3 linked regions of the Macaca fascicularis genome follow. The protein of the gene in region 3 interacts with the protein of the main gene of each other region in a biochemical or structural test. Links are inferred from orthologs where the notes say so. Each region holds a gene or a part of one and is shown on either strand. Other genes may lie near its edges.

The links. The genes of interacting proteins can lie anywhere in the genome.
Region 1: the proteins of PEX19 (region 3) and ABCD1 form a complex in vitro, tested with the Homo sapiens proteins (3 studies listed by BioGRID and IntAct, with this or other methods). The link is inferred for Macaca fascicularis from reciprocal best matches to the Homo sapiens genes PEX19 and ABCD1.
Region 2: the proteins of PEX19 (region 3) and ABCD2 form a complex in vitro, tested with the Homo sapiens proteins (3 studies listed by BioGRID and IntAct, with this or other methods). The link is inferred for Macaca fascicularis from reciprocal best matches to the Homo sapiens genes PEX19 and ABCD2.

The regions. Positions count from the first base shown.
Region 1 is NC_088395.1:159,799,679-159,804,434, reverse strand, and holds part of ABCD1 (ATP-binding cassette sub-family D member 1), read right to left. Parts: intron 2,537-4,756; coding exon 2,452-2,536; intron 2,311-2,451; coding exon 2,185-2,310; intron 2,043-2,184; coding exon 1,850-2,042; coding exon of another isoform or gene 1,796-1,849; exon of another isoform or gene 1,149-1,795; coding exon of another isoform or gene 1,128-1,148; exon of another isoform or gene 799-1,127; intron 1-798. UniProt on the Homo sapiens protein: ATP-dependent transporter of the ATP-binding cassette (ABC) family involved in the transport of very long chain fatty acid (VLCFA)-CoA from the cytosol to the peroxisome lumen.
Region 2 is NC_088385.1:46,046,258-46,051,991, forward strand, and holds part of ABCD2 (ATP-binding cassette sub-family D member 2), read right to left. Parts: intron 3,392-5,734; coding exon 3,246-3,391; intron 1-3,245.
Region 3 is NC_088375.1:100,772,793-100,779,087, forward strand, and holds the start of PEX19 (peroxisomal biogenesis factor 19), read left to right. Parts: upstream 1-2,674; 5' UTR 2,675-2,686; coding exon 2,687-2,756; intron 2,757-4,171; coding exon 4,172-4,281; intron 4,282-4,701; coding exon 4,702-4,867; intron 4,868-5,625; coding exon 5,626-5,711; intron 5,712-5,924; coding exon 5,925-6,086; intron 6,087-6,295. UniProt on the Homo sapiens protein: Necessary for early peroxisomal biogenesis. Acts both as a cytosolic chaperone and as an import receptor for peroxisomal membrane proteins (PMPs).

The sequences.
Region 1 (4,756 bases), on a different chromosome or scaffold from region 3:
TCTTTCACCCAGCATGAACTCTTCAAGGTCTATCTGTCATGTTATGGAGGAATGGCACTGCGCCTTATGGACAGGCTGTTTGTCCATTTGTCTGTTGACGAGCACTCAGGCTGCCCCACCTTTGGGAGGCTATGGCCATCCATGCATAAAGGTATGGCCGTACAGCTGTTCTCAGTTCTAGTGCCTCTGAGGCCAGGTGGGCTGCTGCACCCCATTCCCACCAGCCACCCTCACATGCAGCCTGCAGAACTCAACACTGCTTCCCTGTTGCTGACAGCGCCTCGGTGGCCTCTGGGCTAAGTCCTGCCTCTGTAGTGTGGCCTCCAAGGCCCGCCGGCCGCAGCCCTCCCTTACCCTGCATGCAGCACGAACACCCGGTGCTGTGCTCCTGGTTCCCCCCAGGTCCCTGCACAAATGGCCCCTTCTCCCTAGAAGAGCCAGCAGCACCCTGTGTGGCAGCTTAGACATCCCTTCTCTTGCCTTCGTGCTCCTCCCACAGGGACCAGCATGATCCCCTCCCCTAGTCCTATTTGGGCTCAGCCAGTATTTCTGTGCAATGTTGTTGCAGGTTCTGCCCCGCCACCATCATGGGAACCCTAAGAGCATTGGTGTGAGGCTTGGCGGAGGACATGCTGGACGGTGTCTTCTGGTGACCTTCCCCCGCAGAAGGGCTTGGGGGTCAGGCCCACTCCTTTCCCAAACTCACTCTTTCCCCCACAGGCAACCCACTCCCTCTCCTCCATCTCTCCCCGAGACCCGCAGCAGACACCATCAGACTCCGAGGCAGGGAGGAAGGACTGCATTTGCCAATGGAGGCTTTTACTGGGGGGACTGGGGGTGGCGCCCGGCCCGAGGGCTGAGGGCCTGGGAAAGGCACACGGTGGCGGTGGGGTCTCTCGGGCAGGCGCTGGCTCTATAGACAGCTCCCCCTGGTGACCCCTCTTTGGCACTGAGCTGGGAACATGGTGTCCGCACTCCCGGCTGGCAAGCAGAGGCCCGTGTGCCCCGGTGGCGGCTGGCAGTGTAGGCTGGCGGGGTGACGGCCACAGGGGCTGGGTTTGGCACCGGTGGGAGCCAGGGCCCCATGGGACTCAGAGGCTGGGCCACCCCCGCTGCTGGCAGGGTAGTCACATTGGCCATGGAGATGGCTACGAATAGGGAATCCAATAAATTAGGCTGTAGAAAGAAGAGGTGAGGGGCCGAGGGGGCTGCGGCTACATTCTCGCTTGGCAGGCAGTGCTGTGCGTCCCTCTCCCGTGGGCTCTTCAGGGCTCTCGTGGGGGAGAGGATGCAGGTGAGGGGCTCTGTGTGACCATGGGTCCCACTGGGTGGCTTTTATGGCATCCCATGCGACAGAAGCCTTGGCTGGCCACCCTCAGGGGATAGATCATGGGGTCTTTGAGAGACTGACGAGGAGGGAATCATGGGGACTCGAGTCTCCGGAGGGAGGCCACCTGCAGCACCAGGGGCTGTGGCCTGAGTGGCTCCTGGGGCCCGGCTGCGCTGCTGTGGCCAGCACTGGGCCCCCGTGCCCCAGCTTCCTCCGCGGAGCAAAGTAGGAGACTCACTACCCTGGACAGGGCCCAGTCACTGTGGAACAGCCCCCCCAGGGAGTGGGAGGGACAGGGTGGGGGTGATGCAGGGCGTCACCCTCCACATCTACTTTCCCAAGGGCGGGAAGGGTCTTCTAGGAGGGGCCAGGCATGCAGGGGCAGGGCGCATGCGCAGGTGGGTGCTGCTGTCTCCTTCATATGATCTGAGCTTGGGGGCGGGGCAGGGGCCGGGGAAGGCCGAGTCAGGTGGAGGCACCCTGGAGGCCGCCAGGGTCTTGTGGGCTAGGTGCCGGCACCTGTGCTGGGGCCATGGCCTCGCCCAGGATCTGGCAGAGCTCTTGGAGGCGCCGCTGCATCTTGGGAATGCCTGCCAGCTGCTGCTCCAGCCGCTGCTTCTCCTCTGTCAGGCTCAGGCGAGCAGCCGAGTCCAGCTTCTCGAACTTCCAGCCACCCTCCCCGTCGAACTGTAGCAAGTGTGTGTGGTACTTCCTGGCCAGGAGAGGGACAGAGTCAGGGGCACGGCACGAGGGCTGCTGATGAGAGCCGCCTGCTGCTGCTGGGCTCACCAGGCCACGTCCTCCCCTCAGGCTGCCACTCCCACCGGCCCCAGACAGGGAGAGAGGGCACCTACCACAAGGAGGGCCGGTGGGTGATGGAGAGCAGGGCGATGCCCGCGTCCTTGGCTGCCTGGAAGATCTTGCCTTCCACATCGATGCTCACGGCACTGGTGCATTCATCCAGGAGGGCGTACTTGGGCCTGGGGGTCCGGGCCGAGAGGAGAGTCTGTGCACCCTCCAGGGCCCAGTACCTCAGCCCAGCTCAGGCTCCACTGAGCCCAGGCCTCCCCATGGCTGCTACTTCCCCTTCCAGGGGACCCCAGGGAGCCCAGAGTGCTCACCTGTGGTAGAACATGCGGGCCATGCCGATTCTTTGCTTCTCGCCACCCGACAGGACGTCCTTCCAGTCACACATAGCCTCCCAACCTGGGCGGGGGCAAGGGTCTTGGCTCAGTTCCACCAGCACCCAGCCCTGGGGGCCGGCCGGGGAGCTGGGGGAGCTGTGGGAATGAGCTGGCTGTGATGACAGGCATTAATCATGGAGGAGTGGGGACTGGAATCATGCCTTCTCCTAGAAGAGATATGGTGGAGTCCCAGCCCCAGCACTTCAGTGTGACCTTATTTGGAGACAGGGCCTTCATGGAGGTGATCACACTAAGATGAGGTCATCAGAGTAGACTCTAATTCAATATGACTATGTCCTCATAAAAAGGGGGTATGCGGGCAGAGGACGTGCATAGAGGGAACATGAGGTGAAGATATACAGGGAGAAGTGGGCTATCTGCGAGCCAAGGACAGAGGCCTGGAACACATCCTTCTGTCACGACACCCAGAAGGAGTCCACCCTGCTGGCACCTGGATCTCAGGCTGCTGGATGCAGGAGACGACCCACCCCTGCGGTTTATGGCAGCCCCAGGGCACCCACACAATTCCCTGGCACAGAGCCCCAGAGCTGCCACAGTGCTCTCCCCAGACCAGGGGCTTGTCACCACCCACAGGGGTTGGGCCTCCTGTCACTGCCCTGTGCCAGCACTTTGGCAAGGCTCGAGTGGGCTGCTTGAACAAGCAGGTGAGTTGGCTGCTCCACTGGGCCGGGGCACTGTGGCAGAAGTGGCCCCTCCCGTATTCTCGGGCATGCTGTCTTCCCCTGCGGCCCAGGACTGGAAGTGGCGACAGGGTGTATGGCCACCCAGAATAGAGATTACGCTTCCCAGGTGGCCTTGTGGTGAGGTGTGAGCATGAGACTAAGTTGTGGCCAATGAGATGTAACTGTAAGTATTCAATATGGTGGCTTCTGGAACCTTCCTTAAAAGATAGAAGGCACATACCTTTTGCCCCTTCCCTTCTACTTCCTCCATCCTACAGCCTGGGACATGATGTGAGGGCTGCAGCAGCCCCCCTGTATCATGAGGTGACTTTGGAAATGGAGGCCACACACAGCAGAGTGACCTGGTAGAAAAGCCTAGAGCCCTGGGACCTTCACAGAGCAGGGCCAGCCCCGGCAACCGTGGCCTGGCTCTCTTGGGACCTAACAGCTCAGGAGAATAAACTCACAAACGATCTTAGCCAGTACTGCAGGGAGGCCGGTTCTGTTCCTCGCAGCTCAACTCCATCCTAACGGCTCATGCTGGCCGGCCACAGGCCCTAGGCATTCAGGCTGCCACAGAGGCGGGAGGGGCCACTGCTCCCAGGCGGAGGGCAGCAGGAGCAAGAAGCAGGGCCGCGCCAGGGGCTGCTCCACTGCCATCGCCACCTGTGTCCCCGCTTCCTCCACAGGCAGGTGACAACACCCCAGCCATTTCCTGCAGGAGCCACTTCTTCTCATGTTGCCACCAAGGCAGGGCTTGGTGCCTGTGCCCTTGAACCGTGAAGGGGAGCCCCAGCAAGGCGAGGCCCTTGCCCAGGGCAATCTTGCACCCAGCACTGGGGGCTGGAAGCTGAACCCAGAGGATCAGAATTCAAAGAGAGAACTAAACACTCCTACCATGTCCCTGCAGCTGCACCCCCCTCTCCTCCTCTGCTCTCCCAGCACGATGGACACTGTGAACAAGCAGCATTCCTTGATAAGCCCAGGACAAGACAACAGCTTAGTCTGGCCTCCTTTTCCGTGAACTCATCTCAGAATCCGCCCGACTCTGCTGGCCCCAGCCCCCTCCAAGCGTCTGCACAAACCTCCGGACAGTAGCCATCACTGCACACATGTGCCTGCCCCTGCCCACCGCCCCATGGTCCTTCCAAGAGCGTCTGATCCTGCTCAGGGAAAGCCTAGGCTCCCGTCTGGTCCGGAGGGGACTCTGTGAGCTAGCCTCTCGCGCCACCAAGCCTGTGGGCCACACTCCGCCCTGCTGTCCCTGGCTCCCCGACAGGGTAACCGCTCAGCATTCTGCAGGGCTCAGCTCAGACCTCTTTTCTCTGGGAGAGGGTATCCTGGGTCCCCCAATGAGGTGCACATCCCTGTTAGGTGCCCCCTTCTCTAGAGCACCCATGCCACCTGGGGCCATCTGTGTCGTGCTGGTCCTCCCTGGTAGGCAGGCCTTAGAGGCAGCATCCTCTGTCCCGCCCCTGTGGCACCTGGCACTTTAGACTCCTGGATGTTGAGATAATCTTCACTCCCTGGAGGCCAAGGGAGAGGCCACAGTGAGACAA
Region 2 (5,734 bases), on a different chromosome or scaffold from region 3:
TTACATACAGTCTTATTTGATCTTCACAAAAAAACTTGTAAGGTAGATATTTAACCTCATTTTACAGTTGAAGATACAGAGAACAGGACTAATCAAGATTTAATTCCAGAACTCTGAGTTAAAAGTCCATATTCTCAATCACTGTACTACTACTCTACTTCTAATAATGTAAGCGGGCTGTGAAACAGAACATAAAATCCATTTAAAATTAATCTTGGTGTCTCATTTGTTATTTCAGTCATTTTTCTAGACTATCAAATTATATGAATTATTAAATTATTTGAAAGTGTGAATATTATTTTTTGTTTTATTTTATTTTTTAACTTTTAGGCTTGGGGGCACATGTGAAGGTTTCTTACATAGGTAAACACATTTCACAGGGGTTTGTTGTACATATTATTTCATCATCCAGGTATTAAACCCAGTACCCAGTGCTTTTCTTTTCTGCTCCTCTCCCTCCTCCCACCCTCCAACCTTCAAGTAGACCTGAGTCTCCGTTGTTTCCTTCTTTGTGCTTGTAAGATCTTATCACTTAGCTCCTACTTGTAAGTGAGAACATGCAGTATATGGTTTTCTGTTCCTGCATTAGTTTGCTAAAGGTGATTGCCTCCAGCTCCATTCATGTTTCCACAAAATATGTGAGCTCATTCTTTTTTTATAGCTGCATAATATTCCATGGTGTACCTGTACCACACTTTCTTTAATCTATCGTTGATGGGCATTTACGTTGATTCCATGTTTTTGCTATTGTGAATGGTGCTGTGATGAACATTTGTGTGCATGTGTCTTTGTGGTAGATGATTTATATTCCTCTGAGTATAAACCCAGTAATGAGATTATTGGGTGAAATGGTAGTTCTGTTTTTAGCTCTTTGAGGAATTGCCGCACTGTGGTTGAACTGATTTACACTCCCACCAACAGTGTATAAGTGTTCCCTTTTTCCTACGACCTTGTTGACATCTGCTATTTTTTGATGTTTTAATAATAGTCATTTTGACTGGTGTGAGATGGTATTTCATTGTGGTTTTGATGTGCATTCTCTAATGATCAATGATATTGAGCTTTCTTCATATGCTTGTTGGCTGCATATATGTCTTCTTTTGAAAAGTGTCTGTTCATGTCCTTTTCCCACTTTGTAATGGTGTTGTTTTTCTCTTGTAAATTTGTTTAAGCTCCTTATAGATGCTGGATATTAGACCTTTTTCAGATGCATAGTTTGCAAATATTTTCTCCCATTGTGTAGGCTGTCTGTGTACTCTGTTGATAGTTTCTTTTGCTGTGCAGAAGCTCTTAAGTTTAATTAGATCTCACTTGTCAATTTTTGCTTTCATTGTGATTGCTTTTGGTATCTTTGTCATGAAGTCTTTGTCTGTTTCCATGTCCAGGATAGTATTGCCTAGGTTGTCTTCCAGGGTTTTTATGGTTTGGGGTTTTACATTTAAGTCTCTAATCCATCTTGTGTTGATTTTTGTATATGGTATAAAGAAGGGGTCCAGCTTCAGTCTTCTGCATATGGCTAGCCAGTTATCCCAGCACCATTCATTGAATAGAGAGTCTTTTCCCCTATTGCTTATTTTTTCAGCTTTGTTGAAGATTAGATGGTTGTAGATGTACGGCCTTATTTCTGCAGTCTCCATTCTGTTTCCCTGGTCTCTGTGTCTGTTTTTGTATCAGTACTATACTGTTTTGGTTACTGCAGACCTGTAGTATAGTTTGAAGTGGGGCAGTATGATGCCTCCAGCTTTGTTCCTTTTGCTTAGGATTACCTTGGCTATTCAGGTTCTTTCTTGGTTCCATATAAATTTTGAAATAGTTTTTTTCTAGCTCTGTGAAGAATGTCATTGGTAGTTTGTAGGACTAGCATTAAATATGTAAATTGCTTTGGGCAGCATAGCCATTTTAATGATATTGATTCTTCCTATCCATGAACATGGGATGCTTTTCCATTTGTGTCTTCTCTGATTTCTTTGAGCAGTGTCTTGTAATTCTCATTGTAGAGATCTTTCACCTTCCTGGTTAGCTATATTCCTAGGTATTTCATTCTTTTTGTGGCAATTGTGAAGGAGATTGTCTTCCTGATTTGGCTCTTGGCTTGGCTGTTGTTGGTGTATAGAAATTTAGTAATCTTTGTATGTTGATTTTGTATATTGCAACTTTGCTGAAGTTGTTTATCAGCTGAAGGAGATTTTGAGCTGAGACTATGGGGCTTTTTAGATATAGAATCATGTGTCTGCAAGCAGGGATAGTTTGACTTCCTCTCTTCCTATATGAATGCCCTTTATTTCTTTCTCTTGCCTGACTGCTCTAGCTAAAGTGAGATTATTATTATTAAATTATTTGAAAGTATCACTAAACACAGAGAGTATTATTAGACAATAATTCTATTTTAAGCTTATATGTACAAATGTTATTTATACTCTTTCAAAAATGTTTTATGCTGAAAAAACACAATACAGAAGTTTCTGACTTTAATTATCTGTGTGCTGCTTGAGAGCAAAAAAAAGATACTGGTAAGATTGTGGGTCTGAAACCAAAAAAAGTAAGTTCTGTGGTATCTACTTCTCAAATTATTTAATTTAATGTAAGCTGAGGGCTTGTAAGGCTAATATTTCTGTCACAGACTTTAAATACATCTAGACTGACAATGGCCTCAGGGACTTTGTACATTCAAATATAGAAGAAAAAAGCTTTTTTTAAATGTTAGCTGCACTGACATGGAGACTTGATAAAAACTTAATGTGGCCGGGCGCGGTGGCTCAAGCCTGTAATCCCAGCACTTTGGGAGGCCGAGACGGGCGGATCACGAGGTCAGGAGATCGAGACCATCCTGGCTAACACAATGAAACCCCGTCTCTACTAAAAAATACAAAAAAATTAGCCGGGCGTGGTGGCGGCGCCTGTAGTCCCAGCTACTCGGGAGGCTGAGGCAGGAGAATGGCGGGAACCCGGGAGGCGGAGCTTGCAGTGAGCCGAGATCGCGCCACTGCACTCCAGCCTGGGCGACAGAGCGAGACTCGGCCTCAAAAAAAAAAAAAAAAAAAAACACCTTAATGTGTTGTTTTAAACATAACACAAGCAGAAAAAGAAATACAAATAATGGAACAGCAATAAAACTCCATCTTTACACTTATGTGCTTATTTCCGATTATAGCATACATTCAAATTAAACCACACACTAAATATATACCCAAGGTTACTTTTTAAACGTGAAGTTAAATGCATTAAAAAAGAATGATGGACTTTACCTCCTTCTCTTTGAACTATGTGATAGAGATGGACATTGTGTAGGATACGTTCCAGATCTTGGTCTGTACAACCTTTATCATGCATATCATCCACTGAATCAGGGTAAATGACTTGATCTCGAAGACTTCCAAGAGACATATATGGCCTGTAAAACGCCAAGCACACAAGAATCCTAGTGGAAAGTCATGATAACTTACTCAGTGTGACATCTTGGTAGTCTGAAAACATCAGTGAAGACTTTAAACACTACATTTCCAGGATGATATTTGTTAACCTGGTGATGAGTACTTCTCCCTCAGGCACTGCTAAACGATACCATTATGTTTACATAAAAACTTACTGGCACATGGACACAAGAAAAGCTTCTCTAAGAAATCATCTGACATTTCTTTTTTCTAAAAAATTTTATTTTATTTTATATTTTGTAGAGACAGGGTCTTGATATGTTTCCCCAAGCTAGTCTCAAACACCTGCCTCAAGTGGTTCCTCCTAACTTGGCCTCGCAAAGCACTGGGATTACAGTTGTAAGCCACAGAACCCAGCCACATTTAACATTTTCAGCAGAAAAATACTGTATATACTTTGTTTCACTGCATTTGATAAATATTGCTTCTGTAATTCATCTATAATTATTTGGGTTACATATTATGCAATTTGGGTTTTGACCCAGCAATGTGAACAAACAAAACAAAAAAATGTAATTCATAGTAAGAAAAACACAAATTAAAACTACATTGAGTTTCTTGCTTTTCAGATTGGCAAAAATTCGACAACTTGATAACTCACTCCACTGGCAGGCCTGTGGGTAAAGGAGTGTTCTCATACTACAGTGAAAATGCAGAATCATACAACTCTTACAGAGGGGATTTGGCAAACTGACAGAGCATTTGCCCTTTGACCCACTTCTTGGAATTTACTCTGAAAATATACTTCTAAAAATACAAAAAAAGATGCATGCAGTTATTCATTACAACTTATTTGTAATAGCAAAATATTGAAATGCAACATAAATACCCATACAAAGAAGACTGACGGAATAAACTATAGTACATCCACTATGCAGCTATAAAAAAAAGGATGAGGAAAACCTCTATAAACTGATATGAAGTGATTTCTATGATATATTGTTAAGTTGAAAAGCAAAATGCAAAAGTAGACTTATAGCAGGGTTTCTCAACAACGGCACTTTGGCTTATTGAACCAGATAATTGTTTGTTGTCGAGGGCTACCCTATGTATAGTAGGATGTTTAGCATTATACCTGATGTCTACCCACTAGATGTCAGTAGCACCCCTTCCTGTAGTGAACAAAAATAATTGTCTCCAGATACTGCCAAATATCTCTGGGGGACAAAATCTTCCCAGTTGAGAACCACTTCTATGTAAAAAGAAAGCAAAATGAAGTATAGACATACCCATTTATATTTAAAAAAGGAAACACAGGAAGAGTAAACCTGAAACTAGTGAAGTTGGTTAGCTACAGGAGGTGGGAGGAACAAGGTGGAATGGACAGGCAGGAAAAGGCCTAAGTATCCTTTCTATTAATAAAGTTTTTACTTTTGGAATCCCTCAAAGTGTTACTATTCAATAAACAAACAAAATTAAACCAACAAGAATGAAGGAAGAAACCTTAAAATTGAATACAAACAGAAACAATTTAACTGAACAGTATATCCAAAGGATAAAGTAACCACACAGCGAGGGGGATGGAGGTGGGGATGAATTAATCCATGTGACTTTTGAACTTGGCTACATAATTTCAGTCAAAGACAGAAAGAATCACGTGGAAATCTTGAAGCTTACTTGCAAATTTATTTTTGGTAATGATATAGGGGTAGCAATTCTGAAACCATTTTATGTGTATTGTAGGATTGGTTAAGTAAATAAATGGTTTGGTAATGTTAGGAGCAAGGGTTCTCACTGTGGAAGAAGAAAGACACAAACATACTATGTGGGAAGGCAAGAGAAAAACTCTACTATTTAATTTGAATTTGAGTATCAGTATGAATTTATGATTTTTAATAAAAAAATTCTAGTCCTATCTACATCTGAAACATTCTAATATTATCCTTTGTGAAGCACACATCATTTCAGCAATGCAATAAATTCAATTGTGGACCCAAAAAGATCCATCTTAATCCAGACCCCCCCCCCACATATCTGTAAATGAAACCTTATTTAGAAACAGAGTCTTTGCAGATTTAATTAAAGTTCTTGAGACAAGATCATCCTGGATTAACCAGATGAGCCCTAAATCCAATAAATGCCCTTATCAAATGAGAAGAAACCCAGGAAAGAAAAGAAAGCCACATGGAGACAGAGATGGAAGTTATGGTGCCACAAACCAAGGAATGCTTGGCACCACCAGAAACTGGAAAAGAGGCAGGAAATAATTCTTTCCAAGAGCCTTCAGAGGGTGTCGATTGCCAATACTTTGACTTCTGGTATTCAGGAATGTGAGAAAATAAATTTCTGTTGTTGAAACCGGC
Region 3 (6,295 bases):
TAAATTTTGGCAAATTTTTTTATTTATTATTTGCAAATTAAATTACAAAATTAATTTTGCACACAAAAACATTACTAACTGAGGGATATGGAAAAACTTTACAATTCCTGCCTCTTGAATCTTACATAATTGGGGAAACAAGATTGATGTATGTGAAATAATTGTGAATCCCAGGCAAGAATTAGAATTTGATAAACTGGAGAGCCATTAAATCTTTAAGGACAGAGTGATATGAAAGTACTATAAAATACTGTTATTCAACAGTATTCGCTATACATTAGAAAGGCAGAAGGAGCAGTCAGTAGTAGGTCAGTAAATACTGAGATGAGATGTTAGGAGTATTAGTAGTAAAAATAGAAAAGCAGAAACAAGTTTAAGAAATAATGCAAAGAAAGAGTCATGCTTGTTTTTTACTCCATTTTAATTATCTATTATCTTTTAATTAACATGCTTATATTACATTAGTTTAAAGCCAATTGACTAGGTGTAGTGGCTCACATCTGTAATTCCAGTACTTTGAGAGGCCAAGGTGGACATATCACTTGAGGTCAGGAGTTAAAGACCAGCCTGGCCAACATGGTGAAACCCTGTCTCTACTAAAAATACAAAAATTAGCCGGGCATGGTGGCGCAAGCCTGTAGACCCAGCTACTCAGGTGGCTAAGACAGGAGAATCACTTGAACCCTGGAGATGGAGGCTGTAGTGAGCCAAAATTAAACCACTGCACTCCAGCCTGGGTGACAGTGAAACTCGTCTCAAAAAATAAAATAAAGCCAATAGAGATGCCTGTTGATAGACAAGTTTTCTTTTTTTTTAACGTGTTTGTTATACCTATAGCCATATTGGAGATCCACATGTAAGCAATTTGAATGAGAAACCCTGGAATAAATTATGTTGCAGGTATTGGGGAAACAAGTTTATCAGGAAAGGATTTGATTACAGAAGTTTAGAATTGTAAAGGACTTAGAAAGTGATTTAGTGGCAGAATTAGGGCTGGAATTTAGGCTTTATAACTTACAGTTCATAATATTTTTATCCCAAAACACACTACTTGTGGTCAGAAGGAAACAGGTTTTGCACAGATACGATTTTACATGTCTGTGCCCTGTCTGTGAAAGACATAGTAAGTCTTTCTGGTGCTTGATGCAGTACTCAAATGTGTGTTTGGGAAGCTAAGCATGAAAGTGATGAGGTGACTTAACACAGGAATTTTTTTCATTTAAAATTCTTACCTTGTGTCATACTTACTGTGTGTATATCTCATCATACCTGCGGCTCACCTCCACTTAGCTACCTTACAGCAGGGGGTGGTCCTGATTTATCTCTTTGTCCTTGCTGTGCCCAGAACAAGACCTAAATAATAGGTGCTCTCCAAGTGCTAAAACAGATCTGTATGTGAAACAGTTGCTACATTCTTACAGATCTGAATAGAACAATTCCAAAGGAGGAAAGGGACGTCTAGAGTTACCTCTATCTGAGCATCCCCGGTGTTCACTCAGTTGGAGGTTGGGTTCTGTGTGGAGAAAAGGAGATTGGTCAGGGAAAGCAAGTCTATTACTAACTACTACATTCTAATTGCCCTGCTCAGTCCAAGGTCCCAGATGCTCTCTTTCTAACATTGAGTTCTAAGTTCCTGGCCCTGTGTCCTTTAATCAAACAGTTCTAATAGAGAATAGGAAATGAGAGATGCCACTAGATTGGGCAGACAGATGTGCCTGATTAGGGACTGCAAGAGCAAAGAGTGGCCAATGAGTGCCTACTAAGTTTTAAACCCTAGCCTAGGAGTTGGGCTTTACAGCAGCGAAGACAACAGACGAAAATCTTCGCCTTCATAGTGTTTAAATTCTGCACGGTGGGGAGCGGAGAATAAACAAGCACGGTAGATAATATGTCAGATAGTGTTCAGTGTTAAGAAGAAAAGGAATGGCCAAGTAAAGTGTTTCAGAGAAGATAACATTTGAATGAAATAATGAAGTGAAGCCGGGCGCAGTGGCTCACGCCTGTAATCCCCAGCACTTTGGGAGGCTGAGGTGGGTGGATCACCTGAGGTCAGTAGTTCGAGACCAGCCTGGCTACCCAGACTGGCCAACAAGGTAAAACCCCGTCTCTACTAAAAATACAAAAATTAGCCTGATGTGGTGGTGCATGCCTGTAATCCCAGCTACACGGGAGGCTGAGGCAGGAGAATCGCTTGAACCCAGGAGGCCAAGGCTGCAGTGAGCCAAGATAGCGCCACTGCATTCCAGCCTAGGCGACAGAGCGAGACTCCGTCTCAACAAAAGAAGTGAGAGAAAGTAGTATGTTATGTACCATAATTGTCATATCAATCATATATGTATAGATTCTGGTTATTTGTAGGCAGTTTGTCTCAATCTAGCCTACTCATAGCTCAGGAAGAAATAATGAAAGAGCTTCGCCAGGTAATTTGGGAAGTTGAAAGGAGTCCGGGCCTCTAAAACCAGGCAGAAAATAACACTATCTTATCCTTAATTCTGTGTTTCACAGGCGAAAGGGGAAAAATACCCAAAACAGAAACTCAAAGCTTCCTGGCCCTTTAAAAATGGCGGTTCCGCACTGGCCAACAATACCATTGGTTGCCCGAGGCAGAAGAGGGCAGGAACGAAGGGGTGGAGGGCGTGGCGGCGCCGAGGGGTCCCGCCTCCTACGGCAAGTCGGAGGTAGCAAGATGGCGGCCGCTGAGGAAGACTGTGGTGTCGGGGCAGAAGCAGACAGGGAATTGGAGGAGCTTCTGGAAAGTAAGAGCCCATAGTGGGAAAGGCCCGAAGAGGGCAGTTGTGAGGACCCATTCCGGGCGTTAAGTGAACCTGAGGTATTAGGGACAGGGCGGGAGAGGATCTCCAAAGGTTAAATGGGGGCGGAGAGTCTGACCGCCAGCCCCCCAAAAAATCTCTGGGTCATCCTGCCCCACCTCCGCGACTGGAGCTGGGGAACTCACCTGGGGTCCCCCAGTGGTCCAGATTGTGGATGTTTCCGCAGGACGGCGTTTCATGATACCTCTCCAAACTCCTCTTTCTTTAGGTTACTAAGTTCTTAAAGTCCGACTTCAGCAGCAGCAGCAGCAGCATTTGGTTCTTGTTGGGTAGCGAACCACGCACTCACTGATTGCTTACATTAACTCCTAGCAAGCTCGTGGCCCATGCTGCTGCGCCTCGTCCTGCCTTCCTTGACATGAAAGACACTTTTCTCCTCGTAGTCCTTTTCTCTTTCTCTCGTTAGGCCCCTTAACAGTTCTTTCATCTTGTTAGTAGCTCAAGCGGACTCCTTTCCCTTATTTTGAGAAACTGAGGATGTGGCGATTTCAGGGGAAAGCAGTTCACCCTCCTGAAAGACGGTGGATGTTTTCTTAGCATTACTGTCCACTCCCCTGTTGGCTTCCTGCCCAGAGTGGGGCCAGTGCTCTCTCCCTGGGCCTGGCAAGCAGAATGGTGGTGAGGACACAGGCTTTTCAGGGCAGAGGTGAATTTGTAATCTCTTGCTCGATCACAGAGATGTGGGCAGGCAGAAGAATGAACAGAAACGCTGAGGAGTGCCAAGTGACTGTAAATTAGCCTACGGTTATCTGCAAAGATCAGACCAAAAGGAGCTCTAGGAGGTTGTGGGAGAGCACTAAACTGGAGAATAAGAGAAGATAGTTTAATGCCTTACCATGGAATGTAGTATGTGGTCCCTCAGTCTGTGCTGGTACCAGTACCAACAAGAAGCTGGGTGGGATGTCATGTGCCTTCTCACCAAGTTATTCCTTTTAGAGCTCCAGAGTGAGTTCAGAGGGATGAGGACATCTGTGTTCTCTACTCCTGTTGGGTATTTATTTGTATGGGATTTCTAGGGAATCATTAGGTTGTGGCAAGGGAGACACTATAGATGGAGATGTCTCTGCAGAAATTTTTAATCCTCTCCTCCCAGCTCTGAGATGGATACTTGTTCCACCGTAAGGGATTTCTTGCCTTTGCTCACAATAAATTAGGTAATCTGGAAGGAAGTAGGAGGCTCATTGAGGGTGGTCTGGGGAGGTGGGGGCCTCAAGGCGGAAAATTGAGGAAAGTTGGCAATTTGAAAAATCATATTCGTAATGCTTTGCCCAGAAACCACCCAGCCTTGCTTGCATCCTCATCTGTCGCCAACACACACACCATGTCTCTTGTCTCTGAAGGTGCTCTTGATGATTTCGATAAAGCCAAACCCTCCCCAGCACCCCCTTCTACCACCACGGCCCCTGATGCTTCGGGGCCCCAGAAGAGATCGCCAGGAGACACTGCCAAAGTATAAATTCCACCCCCTGAAGGGATGGGGAGGGGATGGGCATGCAGCTCTGAGCAGAGGTTGGGCAGGCCCCTATGGGCCAGAGGGGAATGGGGGAGGGTACCTTGGCCTCACATTGGTGAGTGCTCTTGCCAGCCTCAGTCCTTGTGAAATAAGGACTTGAGGTTGAGTGGAGGAATCTCAGAGTTCCTTGAAAAAATAGTAGGTTTAAATGGTTGGATTGGTATGCCATCCCATACCCTCTTTCAAAGACTAGATACCTTTTTTGCTATTCTCATTAGGAGCAGTAGTTAGAGTGTCCAGTGGAAGTGGGTAGGAGGGAAGTGCATTTCCCATAGCTACTGCCTGTGGCTTCTATCAGAGGCCAGGTGCAGTGTAGTTCTAAGTAAGAGATGCATTTCAGCCACCCTTCCCCCGCAGGATGCCCTCTTCGCTTCCCAAGAGAAGTTTTTCCAGGAACTATTCGACAGTGAACTGGCTTCTCAAGCCACTGCAGAGTTCGAGAAGGCAATGAAGGAGTTGGCTGAGGAAGAGCCCCACCTGGTGGAGCAGTTCCAAAAGCTCTCGGAGGCTGCGGGGAGAGTGGGTGAGGAGACCTTAGATACATGGAAATATCTGAACAGATTCTTAAGTCTTTGTTGCCTGAAAACACCAGAATTCTTAGTGAAGTTGATAGTAATCATGATGTCACAGCCATGGAATGGGTAAAGGCAATGAGAGAAGGGGTGGAAATCCCTCTTTTTTTTTTTTTTTTTTTTTTTTTTTGAGACGGAGTCTCGCTGTGTCTCCCAGGCTGGAGTGCAGTGGCGTGATCTCGGCTCACTGCAAGCTCCGCCTCCCGGGTTCACGCCATTCTCCCGCCTCAGCCTCCCAAGTAGCTGAGACTACAGGCGCCCGCCACCACGCCCGGCTAGTTTTTTGTATTTTTAGTAGAGACGGGGTTTCACCATGTTAGCCAGGATGGTCTCGATCTCTTGACCTCGTGATCCACCCGCCTCGGCCTCCCAAAGTGCTGGGATTACAGGCTTGAGCCACCGCGCCCGGCCGAAAATCCCTCTTAATGAAAAGGGGCGAGATAGGTTAGAAAGTAATAGAAAAGATTATTCAAAACTGACCATTTGAAAGGTCACAGTGTTATTGTGGGTATCATCATGGAGAATAAACTGACATAGAGTCCGTGTATTAAATAGATGTATGAAAAGACTATCAGGATAACCGCAGTTTTCCCAGATGGGGAGTGATAATGATTCACTAGTAAATGCTTCATATCCAAGCTGGTAACCAGTTCAGTCTAGGCAAGGAAACAAATTCCTAAATGACGCTGGCTTTTTAAATCTCTCCTAGGCAGTGATATGACCTCCCAACAAGAATTCACTTCTTGCCTAAAGGAGACACTAAGTGGATTAGCCAAAAATGCCACTGACCTTCAGGTGAGGAGAAAGTAGTAGGGTCCCACAAGGGGTCCACTCTCAGACACTTCTGCAGCAGAGTCTCAAAAGACAGATGCTTTGAGTATCATCCCAAGTCTGTTCCTGTCTTGTTTTGTTACAGGCAAGTTTAGGTAGTTTATCTTTCCCACCTGACAGAGTGTGAGCATCCCAAGAAGGTGGTATACCTGCTCACCTCTTACTTGTCCTATCTAGAACTCTGGCATGTCGGATGAAGAGCTGACCAAGGCCATGGAGGGGCTAGGCATGGACGAAGGGGATGGGGAAGGGAACATCCTCCCCATCATGCAGAGTATTATGCAGAACCTACTCTCCAAGGATGTGCTGTACCCATCACTGAAGGAGATCACAGAAAAGGTTTGTGAACTTCCATTTCTGCTTTTTCTCTTCATTTTCCATCACATCCACTCATGTGGGCTATTTTGTCTACTCAGAGCCTGCAGAAAGAGTAACTTGAGTCTGCTTTTTTCCTTTATTTATTTGAGGCGGGGAGAGTTGGGGGGTGGGGAGAGTTGTGTCTCTGAGAGAATAAAGCTGTCACACTGTATGTTGGGGTATAAGGGGTA